Linked DNA regions of Tamandua tetradactyla. The protein of the gene in region 3 purifies or fractionates together with the protein of the main gene of each other region. This does not show direct contact. Links are inferred from orthologs where the notes say so. Each region holds a gene or a part of one and is shown on either strand. Other genes may lie near its edges.

Region 1 (8,087 bases), on a different chromosome or scaffold from region 3:
ATACCAAACTTTGAAATCTGTTCTACAAGTAATTGTAGAGGTATGCTTTGAAATTTATTGGTTTTTGCATATATGTTATTTTTCACAATTAAAATAAAAAAAGAGTGAGAGTGTCTTTTCATAAACCTGGTGGGAAAAAATGAAGACAGATGGCAGAAAAATTTTCAGTCATTTTCTCAATATGAATTCTGCAGTTAAGGAGGAAGCCCTGTGAAGAACCAAGAACTTATTAAAGGTAAAGTGGAAAGATGAGGTATGCAGCTGGACAGTCTGAAATTTGAATTTGGTTTCAGTTACTCACTAGCTGTGGAACCTTAGACGTGTCATTTAGCCACTCCAAGCCTTAGTTTTCTCTTGTGTAAAATGGGGACAATAATATATATTTCATGGAATTATCATGAAGATTAACAAAATCATATGTAGAGACCCTAACACAGTGTCCTACACAATAGTGGGTGCTCAGAAAACAGTAGACGTGTTCTAGCCATTACCTTTTCCTTAGCATATAGAGCACCAAGGAAATTCCACATTTTTAGAATTCCACTATCATAAGTGTCTTCTATTTTGTGGGTGAGAAAGCTTACTGATAGGAACAGAACAGTTACTATCATTGTAAGCAAGATACTGTGACCACAATACTTTGAACAAGCCACTGAAGAACACTGATCAGTGGGATCACAATGTAGTTTTATGTAATACTGTGGTTTGGATGATAAATTTCAGATACAAGATAAGAGCAGGAACACTAAACCCTTGACCTTTCTTTTATGAACTTTATAAAAATATTCAATACCACCAGTGGATATATCCTCTGGTAGATATTAAACAAGTTTGGCTCCGTGAAAATGACAGTTTAACAATCTCTACAATGTTCCCAAATTGTCAAAATGGATATATTGTCCACTAGACCATGATTAATTTTGAGGTTCCAAAATATGGCCTCAAGGCTCTTTATAAAAGTTTGCTTTGTTGTGGTGATTATTATTTCTGGATTTTGAGAGGCTGTTGTATATATATAATCTGATATTTAGAGAAAAGAACAAAGCCGAACAGGTTGGGGTTAAAGTAATTCAGAACATAGGGGTAAGGAAGACCGTCTATATTTTAGAACCACACATACTCTTTGAGATCAGTGGAAGAAAGGTTTATTAGATCTGGAACTGAAATTTTCTGTAGTGCATAATCTAATTCAACCTATCTGTACAGCTCATATGAGCAACTGAAACACAGGGAGCCCAGAATAAGAGGTCCTTTCATCCTGTATAGATTATTATAATGTCTGGAAACATCCTAGAGTGTATTAATCAGATAATCAAAAAGTATTGGCAGAGTCCTCTGAGGGAGGGAGAAAAAGACTACGGAATTATTAAATCTTACAATCAGGGAATCCCCTGATACTGTGTCAAACTTTAGGGACACCCAAATCAATAGGCCATGCCCTCGATTTTGAGGCTTACTCTTGTGAAGCTTATGTAGGTAGTGGAGAAGCTTAGATGACCTATAGGCATGCCTAAGAGTTACTTCTGGAGGACCCCTATTGTTGCTCAGATGTGGCCTCAGTCTCTCTAAGCCCAACACTGCACGTGAAATCATTTCCCTCCCCTCTACGTGGGACCTGGCATCCAGGGATGAAAGTCTCCCTGGTGACATGGGAGAGGACTCCCAGGGATGAATCCAGACCTGGCACTGTGGGATCAACAATTCTATCCTTACCAAAAGGGGGAAAAGAAGTGTAATTAATAAAGTATCAGTGGCAGAGAGAGTTCAAATAGAGTCGAGAGGTAACTTGCCACTGAAATCTAGCCCAGCCTCTCCAGAACATCAGATAGTTCCATCTTCCTACCCCATATGAGTGACAGACCCTTCCAATAGCAAAATTGCCATAGCCCAAACAACCCCAATGAGAGGTATGGAAAGATCAAAGGTGATGGTGGAATTATACATAGAAGATAGGACTTAACAAATGAATATGAATGCTGAATCATTAAATTGATATCTCTTTTAGTCTCTAGTATTTTAGAGCAGCTAGAAGTAAAAACCTAAAATTGTGAAATTGTAACCCATGTCAAAGTCTGAAATCTGTTCTACAACTAATTGTTGTACTGCTTTGAAATTTATAGCTTTTTTGTATATATGTTATTGTTCACAAAAAAAGAAGAAAAAAAAGTTGATTGCGATGATAAAAAAGTATTTAAGCCTGTAGCCTCCTATATTCTGGAGCAGCTAGAAGGAAAAATATGAGAGGATTGTATAGTAGCCCATGACAAACTCTGGGATCTATCCTGTAACCACTTTTTGAAGAGTGCTTTAAAAACTATTGCTTTTTTATTTCTTTGCTTTGTATATATGTTATACTATGCATTAAAAAAAGTTTTAAAAAAAGGAAAAGTTTGCTTTGTTCAACCTCAACGGAGTAGAGCAAAGACCATTTTCATCGAAGAGACATAATTGGGTAAAGTAGTAACAGATAGAGCAAGGTGTTGAGTAGGATCAGAAACAAGTTGCCTCTTGTTGAACAAAGTCTGCAGATCATGAATTTTAGGCAGATTTGCAAATAAGGATAGCACATGCTCTGTAAATAATAGCTGTTGCCACAAGCCAAAGGGCAGTATTTACATGAGTCCTGTGGCAAGGACTATTGACTAAGCATCGACCTTTACAGCCAAATTCGTATACTTGGAAACACTTTCAGCGGTGTCATCTTGAAAAGGAAGAATCACATTATACATAAGTGGAAAATCTCCAAGACAGAAATATGTTCTGGTACCCAAATAAACTTCCAAATTCTTCTTTTGAACTTGGAACACATGTTCCCATAGAAAAGTATTATGAGGAGATGTAAGTTTCTCAGATTTCCTCACAAAAGATCATTTAACCCATGATGTCACGGAAGTACTGTATATTTGCAATGAGAAATAAGTGGAACAAAGTACCCTTGCAAGCAGGAACACATCAATACTTCAGCAAATGTTTCTTGAGTCTTTCTCCTTTGAAGCCCCAGGCAATGGAAGTAGAATTCTATCCTCCCCAGGGCTACAGTTTGGTGAAAAAGAAATCGTCCCCTGCTGTCGTGTGGAAGGGTCCTTCTTAAATGAGATGGATGAATGTATCACAGCATCTGTTTCAGCGCTTCTTGAACTTTTTCAGCAAACAACCCTTATTGACTGAGGAGATAGAATTGGTAAAGGGAAAAGGGTAGGATGCCTAACTGGAAGTCTCAAGCTTTTCTTTGGAGACACTTCCAACTCTGCAGACCACTCCTTAATATAGCTGCACATCGTAATAGAAAGAATCATGCTCTAATCATCAGTCAAGCAACTTAATTCCGTTTCATTTTTAATAAAGTTCATAGTGCAGAAATATGAGCCATTTTTATACTGAGGGTCCCTATACCCATTGGATAGTCCACGTGTGCACTCACTGCTGAAACACGTGGTGGTGGGGTCATCTAAAGTGAATGAGAGGAACGTAATGAAAGCAAAATTAGAGCAAAGTTAGCACCCCAGCCTCCCCTTTTCTCTTAATGGCACACCCCTTCAGTCACCAGTATCTTGCTCTTTGATTTTTTTTCTCTGTTCAAAACCAGTTCCTGAACAGTATCTCACACTCATGAACACTAAGGTGTAAATGAAAAATAATAGCTAAGCAGTCACAGGTGTTGTTTTTTTTTTTGTAATAGAAAGGGTGCCTTTATAAGAGCCGATTAAGTCCGAGTGGCTAACAACATTGCTCTTGGGTTCAGCTGAGTTCTTAAACTCTGTAAATCACTAGCAGGGTGATCTAGGGCAAGTCACTTAAATCTCTGAAACTGAAGAAGGGCGAAGTCATAGGTTTTTGCATATTAGGGATGCACAATTGTAAAGCAAAAAAGGAATTTAGGGTATTACCCCTAGGGAAAAAGGGATACATTTGGGGGGCAGTTGTGTGATTTCTTGCTGTTTGCAGCAATCACACATCATTTCAGACTGGTAATTTAGGGAAGTATGTTGAGGGAGTTTAATCATGGTTTTTTTTCACTTTGGAAAGTATTTGCTTCATTGTGGAAGTTGTGGATTTTGTAGTGATTGATTGGCATACTGTTTACTATATGTTTTATTATCTTTTGTCCTTAATGTCTGAAATTTGAAAGCTAGGATGTAAGTTTTCCCATTACAGATCAAAATAAATGGCAAGGAGATATAGTAATAATAATATTTAAAGCTATGTTCATGTAGTGTTGCACCTTTTACAAAATGCTTTCATATCTATGATCATATATATTATTGTTGAATTCCTACTAAATAATTACGGTGGTGCACATAGAACACGCAACCCTTCCAAAAGAATTACAGTAATTCAATCCAAATACAAGTTTTAGGTACTTATCATGTGCTATCCCAGATTCTGTGGGACTTTGCTCTTGGCCCCTAGGAGTTTTAAAATTCAGTGGTGAAGGCAAAAAAAAGGGCTTCTGCACCCTGGCCGTCCGAGGATACCAGAGTTTAAAATAAAACATACATACACACACACCCGCCCCCGACAGACGTCGCCTTGTAAGTGAATATTTGTAGCTGCAATCAAAAGATTCAAGGAATGGTTCTTTTGCAGAATTTAGGAAGGTGGGAATTGCACCACTCATCTCCGTTTAGGGACTAGGGAAAAGTCAGCCTCCAGAGGGGCTCTGAGTTTTGCAACTGGTGAGAAAACCTTTCACAGTACAGTTATAAGCAGAGGAAAAGTTCTTGGTAGCAGGGAGGGAGAACGCCTGGAGGTACAAAGAGCAGATTTGAGGGAAAGAGGATTCCTTTTGCATACATGTGCGAGGGGAGTTCAGCTGTCTGTTGGGGGCGTTTGGGAAAGAAGATTTTTAGGGGGTGGTGGGCTCTCGGTTCCCGCCTCCAACCCTGTCAGCGCAGCACACCACGCTCAGGCAACAGTTGGTTGAGCGGGGCCTGCCCGGGCTCTGGGTGGGGAGGGGGAGTCTCGCGATCGTTGAGGGGGGTGTGTGTGGAGGAAGGGGGGAGGGTGACGGGGGGGGGTAGGGCATGACGTATGGTGGGTGGACGGAAGTGGGGCAGGGTTGAGGGTTATTTAAAGAAGGGGGGTCGAGCAAAGGGGTTGGAAGCCGAGTGATTTGCCCAGTCCTGCTTCGTCTAGCGCTTTCCAGAGCAGCCACTGCCGCCGCCCAGGAGCCCTCGTCCCCTTCGCCGCCCCCCTCCCCGTCCCTGCTCCAGCGCCATGGAGCCGGACACCGCTGCTGTAGCAGCCACCGTGGCAACCGCTGATGCGACCGCCACAGTCGTGGGCAATGAGGACGAGCAGCCGAGGCCATCCACTTCTAAGGACGAGGGAGCGGTCGCCGCGGCCACCGAAGCCACCGCGTCCACTGAGAAGGGCGTGAAGAAGAAGGAGGTAAATAGGAAGGGGTGTGTGTTTGGTGAACAAATCCTGTGCCTGCCGCCTCCAAGGGGCCCAAATCCTGACCTTTCGGTGCCGACAGGTACCCGTGGAGCTCTCCCGGCCGGGGCCCGCGGGCCGGGTGGGCGCCGCGGCGGAACAGACTAGCGTTCGCTCCCTTCCCCCTTCCCTTCTCGCCGCTGGAGGGCGGGGGCGGGGTGCAGCGCCCGGTGGAGGGGCGCCCGTTATCCCGGGGCTTGGGGACTTGGGAGCCCCTGGACAGCCCCCAGACCCCTTCACATTCCCGCAACTGGGGTAACAGAGTGGGGGGGGATGGGGCTGTGCAGAAAAAAGCCTCCGCCTCCGCCTCGCCCTCTCAACTCGCTCGCTCCTTCTCCCCCCACCTTCCCGTCGGCCTCTGCCTGGGAAATCTCGGCCCTTCAATCCCACACTCGTGCAAAAAAAAAAAGGGGGGGGGGTGGTTTGCTGGGTCTTAATTTTTATTTGAATTTGAAGGTGTTGGTGGTTGGGGGAGGGGCGGAGGATAATAGGGAAGAAATGTATTTCTCGGATTGGCAATGTCGGCCCTTTGGATGGCAGAAAAAGAAAAAGAAAAAAAATCATCCCTTGTTCGTTCGGTCCCCGACGGCTGAGGCAGGGGTGTCACCCCAAGAAAACGAGTTCTCCGCGTTGTACTCTCCAAGCCAACCCCCAAACGGAGGAACCGTGGACGCTGGTTTAGGAAAATTTCCAATGTCTGCACCCCCACCCCCTCCTGCTCCGCCCCCAACGGTATAGTGTTTCACTCCAGGGCCACCCAAATGGTCTCCCAGTCGGGCCCCAAGTCTTCCAGGCCTCCGCCTCTCTCTCCTAGTGGGCGATGCTGGCTCGTGGACACACGCAGGACCCCCCCTCACCCCCTTTTTTTAACCAGGCGTCGCCAGGATGAGCTGCTGCTAACATAACTGGAGACCGCTCTGGCGCCTATTTAAAGCCAGATTCAGAAAACATGTATTATCTCTGTAATGTATATTCATATGAAATGCGTTGAAAATTGAGATTAAAAGAAAAAACATAGGATGGGGGCATATGGATTTTTGATGTATAAGTAGATTGTAGAATGGATCGTTTACGGGTGGATTTGTTTTCTATTTATGAGTTTGTTTTCCATTTATGAGTATATTGCAATAAAAATGGTAGGTAATTAAAATTATGCCTTAGAGATCGCAAGTGGCTTTGTCTGAATCATTAAATGCTATACAACCAAATGAAAAGCTTTTGAGGGAAATTAACACCTTTAGCCTTGAATTAGAAGAGTAATTTTAAATTCGGCGGTTGCTGAAGTGATATTTTTTACTGTTACAGGGTTGAGTAAACAGAAAAACAGTCGTGGTGCTAAGTGAACAACGTAGAAAACGTGCGTTTTTAGATTTGTGCGGTACTTCTATCAATAAGACAATGTTGATGATTGAAGCTGGGCCAGATACCACACATCAGTATAGATCAAATGTTGGGAAATTCAGAAATGCCTTTATTCTAAAGATGTCTTTTATTCATTCCCCAAACTGAACAAATGTCAAGTGCTAAGCTGTCTTTTCTGTGGTAGTAGAGGTTGTCGAATCTTCAGGTTGTATGCACATTTTCGAATTGTGAAAAGACTGGGAATCAATAAAAAAACTACTATATATATAATAAGCACTGAGATAATACAGATATTCATGAACTCTTGCAGCCTTCATCAGAAATTACCCTGATGGTACTTCATTTATCTACTCAGCATAGAGGAATGAGGTGTTGGAAGTTTACTATTTTAGGCCCAATATCTTTTTATTTTTAACTTTCTCCTTGAAAATCTAAATATATTGTATATTTCCTTGACTCCTTAAGTAGTGTACTAAAAGTACAGATTAACCTTTCCCTCATGACCATAAGTTGTTGCATTCGGACAATGATAAAAAGTTAACTGAGGACTAGGAGGTTTTTCCCCCTAAATTAACTAACCACCTCCCACACCGTTCTAGTATGGTATTGATTTTTAAATCGTTTTTCTGTCCCCTCCTTCAATTGTCAGGTTGTTGCTTTTGAAACACCTCACCTACTTTTATCAGAAATAATTTGTTAATATATGATAAGGGACATAGATGAAGCAAAACCATAAAATCATTTGAAACAGCAGAGAAATACATGAATTCAAAAGATGAAGCAGGAGAGGGAAATAATCAACACCTGAACCTGAACACTGAGGATTAGGGGATGCTATTATAGTGGAACACAGATTTCAGTACTGAGCTTTTGCCATTCCTTTTTCCCATTGACAAAGTGTGCCTTCTAGTAATCTCACCCACATAATTTGCTGTTGCTTTTATTCTCTGTGGTATGGGAAGCCAGATTATCAAATTTGCTAGAATTTTATGTCAAATAGGCTCTGAATGAGAGCACTTTTATTGTGAATAAAGTAGGTGAAATTTAGTAAATTGACTTGTGACATTTTGGTATTTAAAGGTAATTTCTTTACCTTCTGGTTCTGGAATTTACTGGGTTTAAGTGATGGTTGGATAACCTAACATTTAGACGTTGGAGACGGTATTTTTGGTAATGAAAACATCAACAAAAAGGTCATGATGGCCTTTAAGACAAGGCATTTTAATGACCTTGTTCTGCTCATTCTCATGGTATCTAGGATATCAGATGATAAGATCCATAAGGAATTC
Region 2 (7,827 bases), on a different chromosome or scaffold from region 3:
GTAAACATTTTCAAAGATAAACTACTGTCTTCCCCTTTCCATCCAAGTGGTGCTGACAAGAAAAAGGATGGGGTGAGGGAGTAAAGGAAATGTCACAGAGTATTCTACCCATTCATTTAAAAATAGTACATCCTCCTACTGGCATCAAAATATTGAGTTTATTAGAAAAATATATAGCTCATGTTAGTCTTCACAGGCTGAGCATGCCAAGAAATACCACAACATAAGACTTTAAGTTAAATGCTTTTCATGCCAAATAGTTTTTGGCAAAGAATTATTTGAGAAATAATGGGGAAAAAACTTAAATTTTCAATACCATAAATGTGGCCATCAATCTGTCAACAATAAAATGCACTTCTACATGCAAGCAAAGGTAGGTCCTGAGACTTATAAGCAGGCCGTCCTCTGGTAACACCAAAACATGACAGAATTGAGCACTCTAACACTCAAAACAGGAATAAGTACCTTGAAGAGGGTATGGAAAAAAAAATACAAAGACTGACTTACTGGACTATGGCAAGGCATTCCAGGTCTCATATTGACTACTTCAAATAATTGTGAAAGGAAATGGAAAATTAGGCACTCTTCAGAGGCACAGACCAATCCTCAACATGTGCTGGTATTAGTGTTATTCATTAGAATTGGGCTTACTACTGCTAAAATTTTCTTTAAAATATTGAAGAGCATTTCATAAATTATAAATAAATAAAAATGAGAGAGATCTCTAGGCAAGTCCAATTCCCAAAAGAACTGGAGCTGCTAAGAGCTTGTCAAGCTAAAATTAAACACAATGGACTACATCACAACTTGGGGAGAGTGATGGGCCCTCAATTTCTAGGTTTTCAAAAATCAGGATATTATTGCAGCTCAGAGGCTAGTTGTGATTGCTGACTTATAAAGATAATATCAGATAAAGGAGTTTCAAGCAATAGTGTGGAACTTGAAAGGCAGAGTTAAGGTAACACATATAAGATCAGATGACTCTGACATTCTTTTTGGGCCTAGAATATTATCCTTGATAAAATCAGAGTTCAGGGATAAGGAGAAGACTATTGGGATTAACAACAATGAGAAACATTAGGTTTAATTTTCACATTAGAAAACAGAGCCATTTAAATTAAATGTTGGCGAATGTAAAACAGATATTTAAACCCATTCTCTTGAATTTCACAAATTTGGATTTGACAGAATTCAATGTTGTCAATTTCAAGAGGTAGGGATAAGTTTTCAATTCTATCTCAGTGTACTAAGGAATAACAGCAAAAGTAAAAGTTCACTAACACTGTTAATGGAAGTAAGAAATATGACATAAAAATGTGTACTTATGAAGTATAAAATTGTAAATGGGTCTTTTGGAACTTTTCTATGGGATATCAAAAAGGGAGGCAGAGCAGTTCTTCCACTTGCAGATAAACAAGTTATGTTCAGAAATAGGCTTTCCAGATTACCAAATTAGGGAAAAAATTCCAGATTAATTAGGGAAAAATTAACAAACTGAATTAAAAAAATTAAAAGTATAGATACTGAACACAAAGTTTCAGAAGGTAATTTTTTGAGGTAACCCAAGCCTCAGAAATCACTAAAAGGTTTCTTCATCCAGAATGTAAATGGATATTGAAAAAGAGGGAACAAAGTAAGTTCCATAAAGCAGGCAGTAAGTGAAATCCACGTCTAGTCCAGGATGAGTGCCTTGTCCAAGGTTCTGTGTTCTTTTCTTCCAGCCCTCCTTTCAGGAACTCAAACTCCCAGTCAAAGCAGGTAAAAGAAGCACATCCAACTGTTGCCAGTTTGTGATTTTTTTTTTTTTGTTACTTCTAGGAGTGAGCAGGTGATGTCTTCTCATATTTGTTGAGGTGTCCTCCAGTATGAGAATACAGCAACTCCGAATTCTTGCCACTCCCTCTCTCCAAGGACCTATCTATGCAGCACTCACAGCCCCTGCCAGCTCTGGAAGCTGCAGAGATCTCGACAGTCTGAGTTGGGGATTGAATCCTCTCACTGCAGGGTAATTTAGTGGAACCACGACCACCGCACAAATTGGCTGACAACACACATTTCCATAAAACCAGCAATATAAATTTTGACAAGCCTTGGCCGATAGTTTTTTTTATTATTTATTCCGCTATGAAGGACTATACTCAGCCACCGATTCAGCCATCAAAAGGAAGATAGGTGTTTCTTTCTTCTGTATAATATAAAATAAAGAGAATCTACAAGTGATAGCTCTGGGGTATAATGGGCCTGTATGGGTCCCACTACAAACCACGTTCTATCTGGGTCGCACGCAAAGAAGACACACAATACCAGGTTATTTATACAAAGAGCCCCCCAGGACCACCATTTGTATGGGCCCCACGAGAAAACCACTGGGATTCTCCCAGTAGTTTTGCAGCAACAGCTAGTACAACGAAGCTATGTGAAGAGGAAAAGAGGAAAACTCCTCGTAGCTTCTCCTGCCAGTCGAAGACTCAGTCCTCCCGCCGCCCGGTACCCGGTGTCCTTTCCCCTTGACAGCCCCAGGAACTGCATTCGGGTTCCTAGTTGCACCCACGATTCGGACCAGTGCGTTCCCGCGTCTCCGGCGGCCTCAAGGCGCCCCCGGGGGCGGGGACGGCCTGAGCAGGGGGAGGGGCAGCTCTCGCCCGCAGGCCCCCGGAGCGGCTGCACGCCCCCTCTCGGTCCCGCAGCTTTCCCGCCTTCCCCGTTTGAACAGCTCCCTCCCGCCTTCCTCCTTCGGCCCGCTTCTGCCCTATCCCAGAGGCGGGCTGCGGCCGCTACTCCAGTCCCCGGTTCGACCCTTGGGCTAGGCCGCGAGGGGCCTGGGGCGTCCCTTGGGCAGTGTCGCGGGCCCAGAGTGGCGGGTGACGGCGGGGCGGGGCCGCTGCCGCCTCCGGATGGGGGCCCAGCCCGGCCTCGTGGGGGCTCCGCTCGCCGCTACCTTCACTCGGCTCGCCCGGATCCCGCCTCTGCGCCGCCGACCACCGCCATCTTGAGAAGGAGAGAAAAGCGCGAGCGGACAGGGAGCCTCAGTCGATCCCAGAGCTCAGACTCCGGCTCGGGTGGGGAAACCCGCTCGAGAAAGAGCGCCGAGCGCATCGAATGAAATGCTGAGTTTGCTGAGCCACGGGATGGGGAAAGGCTCGGCGACTTATATTTATTGGGAACCTGCTCTGTGCTCCCTAGCGAGGCTTGGGCTAGAAGTTTTGTGAACATTATAGCTTTTACTCCTCACTGCGTACTTGTGAGGTACGTTCACAAACAGGCTCGGAGGAATTAAAAGGATAAGTGGCTGACCCACGGGCACACAGGTAGTTGGAGCGGGAGGCAGGTTGCTATCCCAAGTCTACTGATTTTTAATGCAGTGTTCTTTCCAAAAGGCTATGTTGTTTCCTTCAAGATGTTTTTATATAGTAACGCAAACTAATAACAATAGAGCTTATTTGGAATTTGGCATATACATTTGGGTGTTTGGCATTCTGGTGTGAGATGAGAGAACATATCTTTATAGCAAAGCACTGTAAGTAATTTGCATGAAAAACATCTGCATTTCTCTCCATAAATTATTTGCACTTAAAAGCTAAATACGGTCTTCAGAGAGATGAAGAGATGTCACGTTCAGGAGAAAACTGATTTTTTCTGATTTGTTCTTGAGTATTGGGCCAATAAGTAGAAATTACAGTGTGCAGATTTTGGTTTGATATAAAGAAATTATTTTTCTGGAATGGTTCAGTATTGTACTTTATGAGGTAGTGAAGACCCTTTCGCTGGAGGAATTCAAGCAGAAGGTAGTATCCAAGTTACTGCAGAATTGAGAGGTTAGCTATATAGACTGTCTTCTAGAAAGGTGAACCCCATGACATATGTAAAATTATGTGTTTGTGCACATGTGCATTTTCTGTAGTTTAGGCCCCATCAAGATGAGTTACCCCTGCTTCAGTGGACTTTCCACTCTAGAATTGGATAGGTGCTTGGAAATGTTGTAGTCATACTGTTTGCTATCCAGACTTAGAAATTGAGACTGAAAGCAGCAAAGTAATTTGTCTGAGACCACATTGCTAATTATTGATCAAAAAGGACTAGAAGTTTAGTGTTTTTTTTTTTTTTGTCAGCGCATGCTCTGTCCCCTTCTGCAGCTGTGAGATTCTGAGATGGAAGTTGTGGAATTTATTTCTAAAATGTAAATGCAAATAACAAGACTAGTATCATGGTCTCCTTTCCTTCAGCATCCTTTCTGCTTGCTCACCAACAAGCTAGACAATGAATTTCTCCCCCAAATATGGGATTTACATGTCTGGGACACTTTGCCTGACTTTAGGCCTCCTTTCCAGGTGTTTAAGAGCCTTAAGAATTATTTCCCTTTTGTTCGTCAATACTTTGGATGTATTGCTCAGCACATTTTCAGTTGTAAGTGACAGAAACCCAACTCCAAGTAGTTTACTATGAAAGGGGGACTTATTGGCTTGCGTTGTTGAAATGTCCGGTACCTTCAGGGAGGAACTCAAGTTGCCTCTTGACATTTCTCTGTGGTGCTTTCCCTTGAGTTGGTTCCATTCTCAGACTCTAGGTGGTAACTCCCACAACTCGAGGCTTCCTCATCTTTACTTGTAGCAGTGTCCCTCAAGAGGGTGTTTAATTTTTCTCATTTGTTTTCGATGAAGTCCTGGGATTGACTCTTACAGTGTGAGTTGGATCATGTGTCCAAACAGGAACCAATCACCATGAGCAAAGGCATGGGATAGCTGATTGGCTAAGGTTAAGTTACATTCTCACCCCCTGTGGTGGAGAGGCGCTGTATGTAGCCAAGAACAGCATGTTCTTCCACTACATCCATTTCTATGGGTGTGTACCCATTATAAGGATTTTTTGATGAGGTTACTTCAGTGAAGGGTAGTGATTTCAGTCAGGATGGGTCTTAATTCTAATTACTGGAGTTCTTTATAAGAGAATGAAATTCAGATGGAAGAGAAAGCCATAGAGGGAATAGCCAGAAGTGGTTATCAGTGTAATCCTGAAGGGAAGGGAGAGGCCAGGAGAGTCAGCCATGTGCACTGCAGTGTGACAGAGAAGCCAAGGACTGAAAATCGCCAGCAACCAGCCCCAGAATGCCAGTCTTTGAGAAGAAAGCCTCATCTTGATGCTACTTGGACTTGAACTTCTTTTATTCTCAAAATGAGCTAATAAATCCCCATTAAGCTCACCCATTGCATGGTATTTGCTTGAGCAGCCAAGGAAACTAAAACAACCCCTGAAGTAGTGTAGGGGAAAACTCAAGGGAAACCCAGAGCAGATGGGTGAATAGGTGCTAAGTAAGCTTAAACAATAGCTGTCCCCTCCAGCTGTGCCACTCTTGTATTTGAATGCCTTATGAATTCCATTAGTCCCCTTCCATCTTTTATCTCATCTGAGGTTGGGGCATATAAGGTTGCTGCTCATTTTTGCCTCCCATAAACCTGAAGGCACATTGCATCTCAGCCACTCTTCCTCTTGATTACAGGATCCTACTAACTTGCTCCCAGTCTTGGATCATTCATTCATTCGTTAAAGCACAGCATGCTACAGGCATTGTCTGGTGCTGGAGATAGATCAATGAATGAAATCTACAGTCCTTGACTCCTGGAGTTTACATCTAGTTGGGGTGGGGGCAGATGCTGTAACATAAATAATATTTGTATACTAATAAAAATAAATAGATGCTATGTTAGGTGATGATAAAAGTTATAGAAAAAAAGTAATGCTTGGTAGGATAAGGGAGTACCAGGAAGAAGTGGAGGTGGGAAAGGGTTGTTATTTAAAATAGTGATGGGGGAATCTTCTCTGATAAGGTGACATTTGAGATCTTAGAGAAGCAAGAGAACTAATCAGACAGCTTTCAGGAATTAGAACATCCTAATGTTCTAAAAGGGAACAGCGAGTATGAAGGCCCTGAGGCAGGAGCTTACTTGGTGTCTTCCAGAATCAGGAAGGGGATGGTACAGCTGGATGACGGGGGCATAGCAGGGGAATGGCAGGAGGTGCATTCTGAGACAATAGGGACCAGGCCATGGAGGGCCTTCTAAGCTGCAGCTGCTCTGTGGCCCCAACCCATGCCAGCAAGACCCAACAAGGTTCCAGCTTTTCCTAGTGACCTTGACCCTGAGCCTTGGCAACAGCCCTTCTTGCCTTTGAAACAGTCTAAGGGTGGTAGTAGCTTCCTGCTGTTGGTAATCTCAGGTTTACCTCTCTGTCCCATTTGGGTTCTTGGCTCTTGCATTATTTATGTAATTAATTGCTTGTATTCAATTCCTTTGATTTTAAATATTTAGAATAACTTCTTTTTTTTCTTGGTTGGATCCTGATACAAACAAGTGTCCACTACCACTGATTGATGAGCATTGTTTTAGTTTCCCAACTACTAAAACAAATATCCATGAATGCATTGGCTTAACAACAGGGATTGATTGGCTCATGGTTTCTCAGGCTAAAAGGCTTTCTTTATTCTGGGGTCAATATCTTCTGGCTGGCCAGCAATCTTTGGGGTTCCTTGGCTTTTCCACCACATGGCAATGCACATGGTAGTGTTTTCTCCTTTCCCTTCTAGGTTCTCTTGACTTCCAGCTTCTTGCTTTTCCTTGTATTCAATTTCCTCTGCATATAAGGACTTCAGCCATATTAGATTAAGGCCCACCCTCATTTAGCTTGGGCACACCTTAACTAATAACATCTTCAAAAGTGCTATTTACAAATGAGTTCATACCCACAGGACCAGGGAGTTGGGACCTGCATGTACCTTTTATGAGGGACAGGATTCAACACCTAATAACTACTGATGACCTTGAACACTGCAGTGAAAAGGACTCTGAAGCAACTCTCAGACTCAGCTGGAAAAGAGCACTATGATCAATTGATAATTGAGCTCTGCCATGGGCTGGAGAATGCAGGACTCTGATCTAGACTAACTGCTCATTTTACAGATGGGCAAATGGAGGCCCCTAGAATACAAATGACTTTCCCAAGGCCACACAGTGAGTTATCTACATCCCAGCCTCATTTATTGCCTTTGGTTTTCCAGCAACAAGCTTTGACAGTTTATTGGTTAGAATGACAAGGATTGATCATTGTAGCTCTGCCAAAGTTAAGATTCTAACCATCTTAATCCCTTGCTCACATTTTGTCCTTTGATGTTTGCAGAGCACGCTATGTGCATGGCCTCATTTGATCCTCACATATTATTATTCTATTATTATTATTCTATTTTCCAATGTCTCAAACTAGGGCTTAGGAGAATTAACAATTCACCCAACTCTCATGACTAATTAGTAACAGACCTGGGACTTCAGGTCTCCTGACCCAAGTCCCAGATACTTGCTGAATCTAAGTGGCTAGTTGCTGTCTGGGAGGTTATTGTGTTCTGGAGGTTAACTTAACCAGCAGTGGGTTGGTGGTGAGAACCAGAATGTCAAAGCACCTGGAATGGTTGCAAAGCCTTCTCTGAGCCTGGATGGAAAAATATTCTCTCCAGAATATGCTTCCATGGTTCTCTTGTATTTCAGAGATTCATAAAGAGAGCAAGGAGGACCAACTTGGTGGCATGAGATGGAAAAGATTTTGGCTGCTGGACTTGGTGAGTCAGAATGCATTGTCCAATGACAAACTGAGGATGGCATTAAGGATATGTGAAGATTGGGTGCTTCCTGGGGCTGGAACTTTTCTCTGGCTGATCTGACCCTCGTAAAATTGCCCAGTGTACAGAAGTAGCAGATGGTAGCTGATCAAGTTTTGCTTGACTTGGGAATTTTCTTCCTCAGAAATCTTTTTTCTGCTCTGTGCCTTTTCCAGCTGTGTTCTGGG
Region 3 (8,035 bases):
AGGTCTGTGGTGTGTCACTCTCCAAGTCGCTCAAAAATTCAAGTTAGAGCATGCTGGCTTCTATCTCTTGGTCATATTCCATGCAATTGGAACGCCCTCCCAGGTTTGAGAAATCTTCCACATTGTGAGTCAAAGCCTGGATCCCACCAAGGGAACTGAAATGCCGAGGGACTCACCTTCCTGGCTTCCTCTCAGGAGACCTTGTCATCAGACACATCCACCTTAGCTGTTTTTTTTAATTGTGAAATATAACATATACATATAAAAAGCAATAAATTTTAAAGCACACTGCAACAATTAGTTATAGAGCAGATTTCAGAGTTTGGTATGGGTTACAGTGTCACAATTTCAGGTTTTTACTTCTAGCTGCTCCAAGACACTGGAGACTAAAAGAAATATTAATATAATGATTCAGTTGTCATACTCATTTGTTAAATCCTATCTTCTCTGTTATAACTCATCCTTCTTCTTTGATTTTTCTCCCAATCTTTAGGGGTATATGGGCTATGCCCATTCTAACTTTTTCATATTGGAAAGAGTTGTTGATAATATGGGGTAGGGGGATGGAACTAGCTGATGATTTAAAAGGCTGCCCCCCTCTGGATTTCAGGACTTATACAGTCTAGGAACCCATTTGGAAATTGTAGGTTTCTGGAAAGTAATCATAGTGCATGGAATCTTTGCAGAATCTCAGATAGAGCCCTAGGTGTTCTTTAAGGTTGGCAGGAATGACGTTGGTTGGGGTTTGGCAAACCATGGTAATTAGCCAAAGCTTATGTAAGAGTAGTCTCCAGAATAGCCTCTTGACTCTATTTGAACTCTCAGCCCTTGATACCTTATTTTGTTACAATTCTTTCCCCCATTTTGGTCAGGAAGGTGTTGTCAATCCCACAGTGCCAGGGCCAGGCTCATCCCTGGGAGATCCCACATTGCTAGGGAGACTTTCACCCCTGGGTATTATAGCCCATGTAGGAGTGGGGGGTGGTAATGATTTTTCTAGCAGTTGGGCTTAGAGAGAGAGATGTCACATCTGAGCAACAAAAGAGGTCCTCTGGAAGTAACTCCTAGGCATAACGATACCACCTCAACCTTTTAACTGAAAGCTAGCACTACTCTGAAGCAGTGGCCACTGCAGTTTGGCAGTGTCAGCAGGGCAAGCCGGGTCTCATGGCAGGGAGCCAAAGTCATGCTGTGTTCACAGGTCCAGTTCTCTAGCCTGATTTTGTATACTTCCTGACTGCATAGCCTCACAGCCTGGTTTTCAGGGATTTTCAGAGATTCTCTGAGCTTAAAGAATGGGGTGCTGGTGTCTGCTGCTTGCAACTAAGAACCCAACTGATAACAAAATTGGTGCAAGAGTGATTGCAGGCCACGGACTTTTGGGGAAATGGGGTGGGACTGGTCTATGACTGTGTTTTGAGAGTGATGATAGAGAAAATACTTCTAGTATTAAGGTATGAGCCTTTGAGAGCTCATAGCTAACAGTGGGAAAACAACTCAACAAAATCACCTGTATCACTTGGAATTGAAAGCAAGTCTTTAGTGGACTACGTGAGCATATAACGGGTGTGAGGAATTTGAGGACTGTGTGAGGGCGTGGTTTCTGCCAATGGTACCGGATGTCTGGCAGCTGTCTTTGGATTTAGAAGACATTTGTATGTGTTGCTTTAAACCATTTTCAAAGTGGCCTGAATGCTTGCCAACGTTGAGGGCAGCCCAGAGCAGTAGGTTCATTATCAGTTACAGGCTGCAGTGCAAGGAGCTCTGCTAATTGATCCTAATGACCCAATGGATTTATCGGTGCTTTGTGTACAGCCTCATATTGGGATGCTGTACAGAGCCCATGGAAAGCTCTAAAAGGAGCATCACTATAGCAATGCTTAGGATTTTGGAGCAAAGTCTTGCTCTCTTCAGCTGATAAATAGTTTCCTTTTTGGAAGCTGCTCTGACTCTACTCATAGGCCCTGCGGTCAAAAGCCTGACTACGGGTGTACTATGAGACCATGTTAACCTGTGCTGCTTATCATGAATTATCTGTCCCACTTAGCCAAAAAGTGCCCAGTAGCACTCCCATCCCATGCTAGTAGCATTCTAGCATGGTATAGAAAAGCAGGCCAGAGCAGGTTCCAGAGAAGGCCTAGGAGTGTAAGCCCCAGTGTGTTTACTCCCATCTCACCACCACCACACCCCGCAACCATAGTCTTGTGGAAGGATCCCCATGACCAGATGACAAGGAAAAACACCATTTGAGACTGTTTCACAAATGGTATCAGCTGGAAGTGGACAGCTAAGGTGTTTTAACTATACTTGCAAATGGTCTTGGATGGTAGCAAAAGGAAATCTTCTTAGTGGGCAAAACTTTGAATTGTACTTCTTGTGATTCTCTTCGCCTAAAAAAAGGAAGACGCTACATGAATTTGAGGACAGTTTCTCTTTGGCTAAGTAGTTAGGGACTGAGCGGATTGGGGACAAGGCAGTTTGAGAGACAGGACATAAATGAATCTCTCAGAAAAGATTTAGAGAGCGAGAGTTTTTGTGTCTCATATGAATGCTTATCAAAATGCCCACACTACTAAGGAAGCTTTAATAAGTTGGTAGATGAGGAGATCCGCCCTGTGAATGTACATCAAGCCTCTTCCCTAGTCAAACCAGTGCTTGTCTGTTCAGGACCAGAGTCCTGAACAAAGAGGCCATGGAAGCCACAACTCAGGTTGTGCTGTGTTCAATACAACACTTCCTTTCTGCAAGGCTGACCTGGCTATTGCCACTGTTGAGTACTCATGTTAGAAGAAATCAATATAATGAACTCTTTCTATCGTGGAGGGGCCAGTAAGGGAGACACACTGAGAAGAGGTTATACTGAGTTTAGGTTTCTCTTCCTGTCAGTCAAACTTTTCCCATCACCCTATATGGACTTATTGAATACCTTATTCACCATCGTGATATCTTATGCATCATGGCATCTGATCAAGGAATTAACTTTATAGTTAAAGAGATAAAGAAATTGGCTGCCTGTTTAGATTCACTAGCCCAACAAGTGCACCCTGACAACCAGAAACAGCTGGCTTTATGGAACAGCAGAATAGCTCACGGAACACATTGTTACTGAGACACTGGAAGTTAACAGCTTGAGAACTTCGATTCCATTTCTACTCGGAATTGGCAATTGTGGAGATGCCCACATCCTTCTCATGAATTTCTTTTCTATTTCAATAAACCAGAGTCGATTTCTGTTGCTTGCAACTAAAAACTCCAAGTGATACAAAACTAGCTCTCACTGTGCCATCTATTGTAATTTTTTTGTAAATTGGTTACTAGATTGTAAACTCCAAAGGTGTCACTATTTCTATCATGTTTGTCTTCCCCAAACTGTCCTTTTCATAGTACAGAATACCGACTACAAACTTGTAGACCCTGGGTTATTCCTGGTCTGCATCTATTTTGATTGGTCTGAAGTGTTTTTAAAAATTGACTTAGTTGCTAACATTCAACAATCAAGAGATTTCATATGAAGTCCACATTTCCACCTTCTTTGAACAATTTTAAGATCTCGCCTGCCTTCTGTAGTTGCCCTCTTTTTCAACAAAACACAGGTACTCCAGGTTGCCAAAATCTTCACTTAGCCCATTTTGTTTACTTTTATTACCTACCTGGTTCCTGTAGACATATAAATTTGTGACCCTTGGTACTCAACCAAATTGTACGGAACAAATTTGGCAATTAGCACTTGCATTTCTTCAATTACCATTTTACCTGTGTTCTATTTTTTCCAATTGCTTCGTAAACTATTTGGTGGCCGGACCCCATTTTTCTTTGTCATTTTTCTATGTAATGTATTTCCATAAATATTAACTTATGTTTATAAAACCTTTCTCTTACCTCCAGGGCTGACCCTGATTTGGTCTAGCGGAGCCTGAAAATACATCAGCATGATTCATTCCCTGGGCTATTTGAGACTTGGTGACTGATGAGGTAAAGAAATTAAAATGATTTCTCTAGAATGCAAACACAACACTTTGAGGTAGGTGTCAGGAGGGACGCCGTCCTTTCTACCGTAAACGAGAAACAGGAAAGTTCTCGTTAAAGTGGTGGAGTTTCTAGTTGGGGCACTGGAAGCGGTGTGGGAGACTGGAACGTAGTTGCGCTCTGGAGTTTGTCCGAGGCTTTCCGGGATGTGATTATACGCGACAAGCCTCTGAGCGACTTTCCCAGGGCGTGGTTCCTGGCGGCGACCCGGAGCAGTTGCCACTGGGATCAATTTCAGCACTCCAGAACCAAGCCTTCGGAGTTTCATATTTCTGGGGGCTCGTCCTCCCGCCCCCAGTTAACTCCCCTACGCCGCCAGCGCTGCGTTGTCCCCTTCGGTCGCTCGGGTCGCCCCCTCCGCGACACCCTCCCTCTCCGGCTGCCTCAGCATCAGTTTCAGATGAATTTTGTGTCTCCCCGGCTTTCCCCTCCGCGCTGGGCGCGGGGAGCCGCGGGAAGGAGGATTTGCCAAGTCTGGGGTCCGTCTGAACTCCATCCAAGCTTTGATCTCCCGACGCTTTTTTTTGCAGGGGGCATTTCCCGACAGGGGCGCCCCTCTCTCCGGCACCACCGCGCAGAGGCGCCCTGGGCTCCCCGCCCCCGCCTCGGAGCTCCCGCACTCCCCCTAGCGGCCGCCGCGCGGCCTCGCTCCGTCCCAGGCTCGTCGGCGGCGCAGCTCACGTGACCGTGCTCCGGGCCTGCGGCCGCTGTCGGTTCCCCCAGTCACCGAGCGAGAGGGAAGAAACAAGATGGCGGCTGAAGGCGATCCGGAGTGGGGCCCCAGCAATTCGGATTGAGCCTTCTCCCTCCACCCGCTTCCGCCGGCCCGGCCCCTCCCGCCCGGCCCCGCGGGCCTCCCCACCCGGCCCCGGCGCCCCCCACCGCCGCCCCTCCGCCCGCCCCTCCCCCCTCCGCTTTCCCTTCTCCCCCCCGCCTCGGCTCCGACATGAGGGGCCGGCGGGGCAGGCCGCCCAAGCAGCCCGCGGCTCCCGCTGCGGAGCGCTGCGCTCCGGCCCCGCCGCCGCCGCCGCCGCCGCCGCCCACGTCCGGACCCATCGGGGGGCTCCGCTCGCGGCACCGCGGCAGCAGCCGGGGCAGGTGGGCCGCCGCCCAGGCTGAGGTGGCGCCCAAGACGCGGCTGAGCTCGCCCAGGGGGGGCAGCAGTAGCCGGAGGAAGCCGCCGCCGCCGCCGCCGCCACCGCCGCCGCCACCGGCCCCCCCCAGCACCAGCGCCCCGGGCCGGGGGGGGCGAGGAGGCGGGGGCGGCAGGACGGGGGGCGGGGGCGGCGGCGGCCACCTGGCCCGGACCACCCCGGCCCGCAGGGCCGTCAACAAAGTGGTGTACGATGACCACGAGAGCGAGGAGGAGGAGGAGGAGGAGGACATGGTCTCCGAGGAGGAGGAGGAGGACGGCGACGCTGAGGAAACCCAGGATTCCGAAGACGATGAGGAAGATGAGATGGAGGAGGACGACGATGATTCCGATTATCCGGAGGAGATGGAAGACGACGACGACGACGCCAGTTATTGCACGGAAAGCAGCTTCAGGAGCCATAGCACCTATAGCAGCACTCCAGGTACCCACCCAGCCCAGTTGCTGCAGACTCTTTCCCCACCTCCCCTACCCTCCCCCCCTTGTTCACTCCCTCTCATGTACTGTGCATCCTGCTCCGGCCTCCCCCTACCCCCACCTCCCCCCAAACAGGGGAAATGCGACGGCACATCAAGTGGCAAAAAACTAGATTTGCAAGAGGAAAGAGGCGCATTGTTCAAAATGGAGATTGCATTGTTGCAGTTTGCAGGCCACACTCTCGCTCTCTCTTTCTACCCCCCACTCCCTCTTTTTTTTCTCTTCACAATTGGTGCCAGTGCAGTGTCTCCACCGGGCAGGATTGAAACTTTGGCACACATATCCATTGCATTCATTTTCTCTCCTTGTTTTGGTTTGGTTTTTTGGAATGAAAGAAGCCTCTTGTTTTGCAAACCTCTTTGCATTTCTAATGTGGTTTCTTGTAGATATTTATTATATATCTGCTCCTTAGAAAGGGGATTAAGGATCCCGTTTTTAAGATGGGGCGCGCACACACACATCCAAAACACACTTCCCTTCACACCCCTAGATGTGTGGTTTAAAAATTGTACTAAGGAAATAGATCAGTTGGGTTAATAAGGAAGCCTTATCTGGTCCTGTATGTCGTTTTTATTCTTTGAGTGTTAACAGGCTCGTGCAACAGTTGCTGGTAAATGGCTGATGAAAAAACGCAAAGCAGAAAGCTAAGTGAAACGAAACCAAATTTAGTAATTCACCTGATTCAAAATCATTTTGGTGAAATCCAAAATAAAAGTAAAAAACTGCAGGAGCATGCTTTTAATTTGTTCTTGCTTGCTTTGCTTTGGAAAATGCAGATTCCCATCACCTGTTGCAGAAAATGTGTAGTTGATCATCCAGATCATTGCTGAAGATGAACTTTTGGACCAACTTTTGAACCAACTTGAAACTCTCAAAGCAGATATATCGAGGGATTTATTATAAAGTGACCTTTTCTTTTCGCTTTATTTCTGAATAAAACTCCACCCTGGATCTGTATTGAGCTTCTCTATGGTGACTCCTCCCCTGTTTTCTCACAGAGTTTCTGTAGGCTGGTGCTAAAATGCATTTTGTTAAAACATGCAGACACACAATTGCTGCTTTGTATTAAATAACGTAGTTGCAGATTACTAAATTGTGAAAAAAAAACCCAACGTAGTTTGTAGCAAAAACCTACAAGAGTTTCTCCCTTTTCATTATATTTTTGTTTATCTAGTTTAAGGAAATTAGATCCTAGTTTTAAGAGCATTTTACAAAGTAAAATTTATGAGGACATATGAGGAACGTAGAAAAGTAATTAAGGTGTGTCATCTGTTTTTAAAAGAAACACTAGAGTAGAAGTGATTAAACTTAAATGTTTCCATTTTTTTAATAAATGGCTAAATAATTGTTGAGGAGTGTCAGATGTAAGCGTTAAGTCAGATGTAAACTCATTGAGGTTATCTCAACATCTAATGGAAAAAGGTAATTTATTTTGCTTAACAATGGGAATATCTGTCTTTTTTGATGGGGAGCAAGCAGGAGAATGAAGGAAATGAATAAAATAATGTCAAGTATTTATGTCTTTTGTATGTAAGGACTGCAGGTAATTTTTCATTTCTTGCCTACTTAATTTTAGTACATCTTTTATTGTGATAGTTTTTACTTTAAGAAATCGCATGTTGATTTTCTTTCTACCCAGAGTCCGGATTTGAATGAACCACATACAAACTGAATTGCACTATTGGAAGACGTTTTTCCAGATTAGACAGAGTGATGGCATTGTGACAGGGCAGTTCAGCTAACTTTAAATCCCATTTGAAGGCCTAGTAAAGAGTATTTAGGATTGGTGGCTGTGAATTTATTGTTTTAAATTACAGTTTGTGGTTAGGTTTTCTTTTAAAAAAAATCTGTATTTACGATACGTTTTCTTTTTTAAATGTGTCTCCCTATATACATATATTTCTTTTCTATACATACACACAGAGAAGCAGATATGTGATATGTATATCATAGGGAGTTTTGTTCACAACTTTTTTTTTTTTTTGGAGGGGTGGTGCATGGGCCGTTAATCAAACATGGGTCTCCCACATGACAGGTGAGAATTCTACCACTGCATCCCTCAGTTCTTTTTCTTTATGATTCTTGCAGTCAACCTTTGTATGCTTGTCCTAACTCTGTATAAAATTATTAACTCTTTAAGGTTAGGTGTCCATCCTGTATCCCCTACAGCTTCTATTACAGTGTCTTACACATAGCAGGTGCTCCTCAAAGACTGGTTGGATACATGATTGCTAGTAGGTGAGAGTTTGTAATAGATGAAGTTTTGATAATTCTACAGTGGATTAATATGTTTGAGCTTCTATTTTGTATTACTTGCCAGGCACTTTCCTTTCCTTAGAGGTTGTGTGTGGTATTAGCTTGTTGGATGTCTTGTCTTGT

The links.
Region 1: the proteins of BPTF (region 3) and SMARCA1 purify together in Homo sapiens (affinity purification with mass spectrometry; 4 studies listed by BioGRID and IntAct, with this or other methods). This does not show direct contact. The link is inferred for Tamandua tetradactyla from reciprocal best matches to the Homo sapiens genes BPTF and SMARCA1.
Region 2: the proteins of BPTF (region 3) and HMGXB4 fractionate together in Homo sapiens (co-fractionation; 3 studies listed by BioGRID, with this or other methods). This does not show direct contact. The link is inferred for Tamandua tetradactyla from reciprocal best matches to the Homo sapiens genes BPTF and HMGXB4.

The regions. Positions count from the first base shown.
Region 1 is NC_135353.1:34,163,658-34,171,744, forward strand, and holds the start of SMARCA1 (SWI/SNF-related matrix-associated actin-dependent regulator of chromatin subfamily A member 1), read left to right. Parts: upstream 1-5,023; 5' UTR 5,024-5,217; coding exon 5,218-5,391; intron 5,392-8,087.
Region 2 is NC_135333.1:27,623,444-27,631,270, reverse strand, and holds the start of HMGXB4 (HMG domain-containing protein 4), read right to left. Parts: upstream 3,027-7,827; 5' UTR 2,939-3,026; intron 1-2,938. UniProt on the Homo sapiens protein: Negatively regulates Wnt/beta-catenin signaling during development.
Region 3 is NC_135332.1:6,280,774-6,288,808, reverse strand, and holds the start of BPTF (nucleosome-remodeling factor subunit BPTF), read left to right. Parts: upstream 1-4,972; coding exon 4,973-5,603; intron 5,604-8,035. UniProt on the Homo sapiens protein: Regulatory subunit of the ATP-dependent NURF-1 and NURF-5 ISWI chromatin remodeling complexes, which form ordered nucleosome arrays on chromatin and facilitate access to DNA during DNA-templated processes such as DNA replication, transcription, and repair.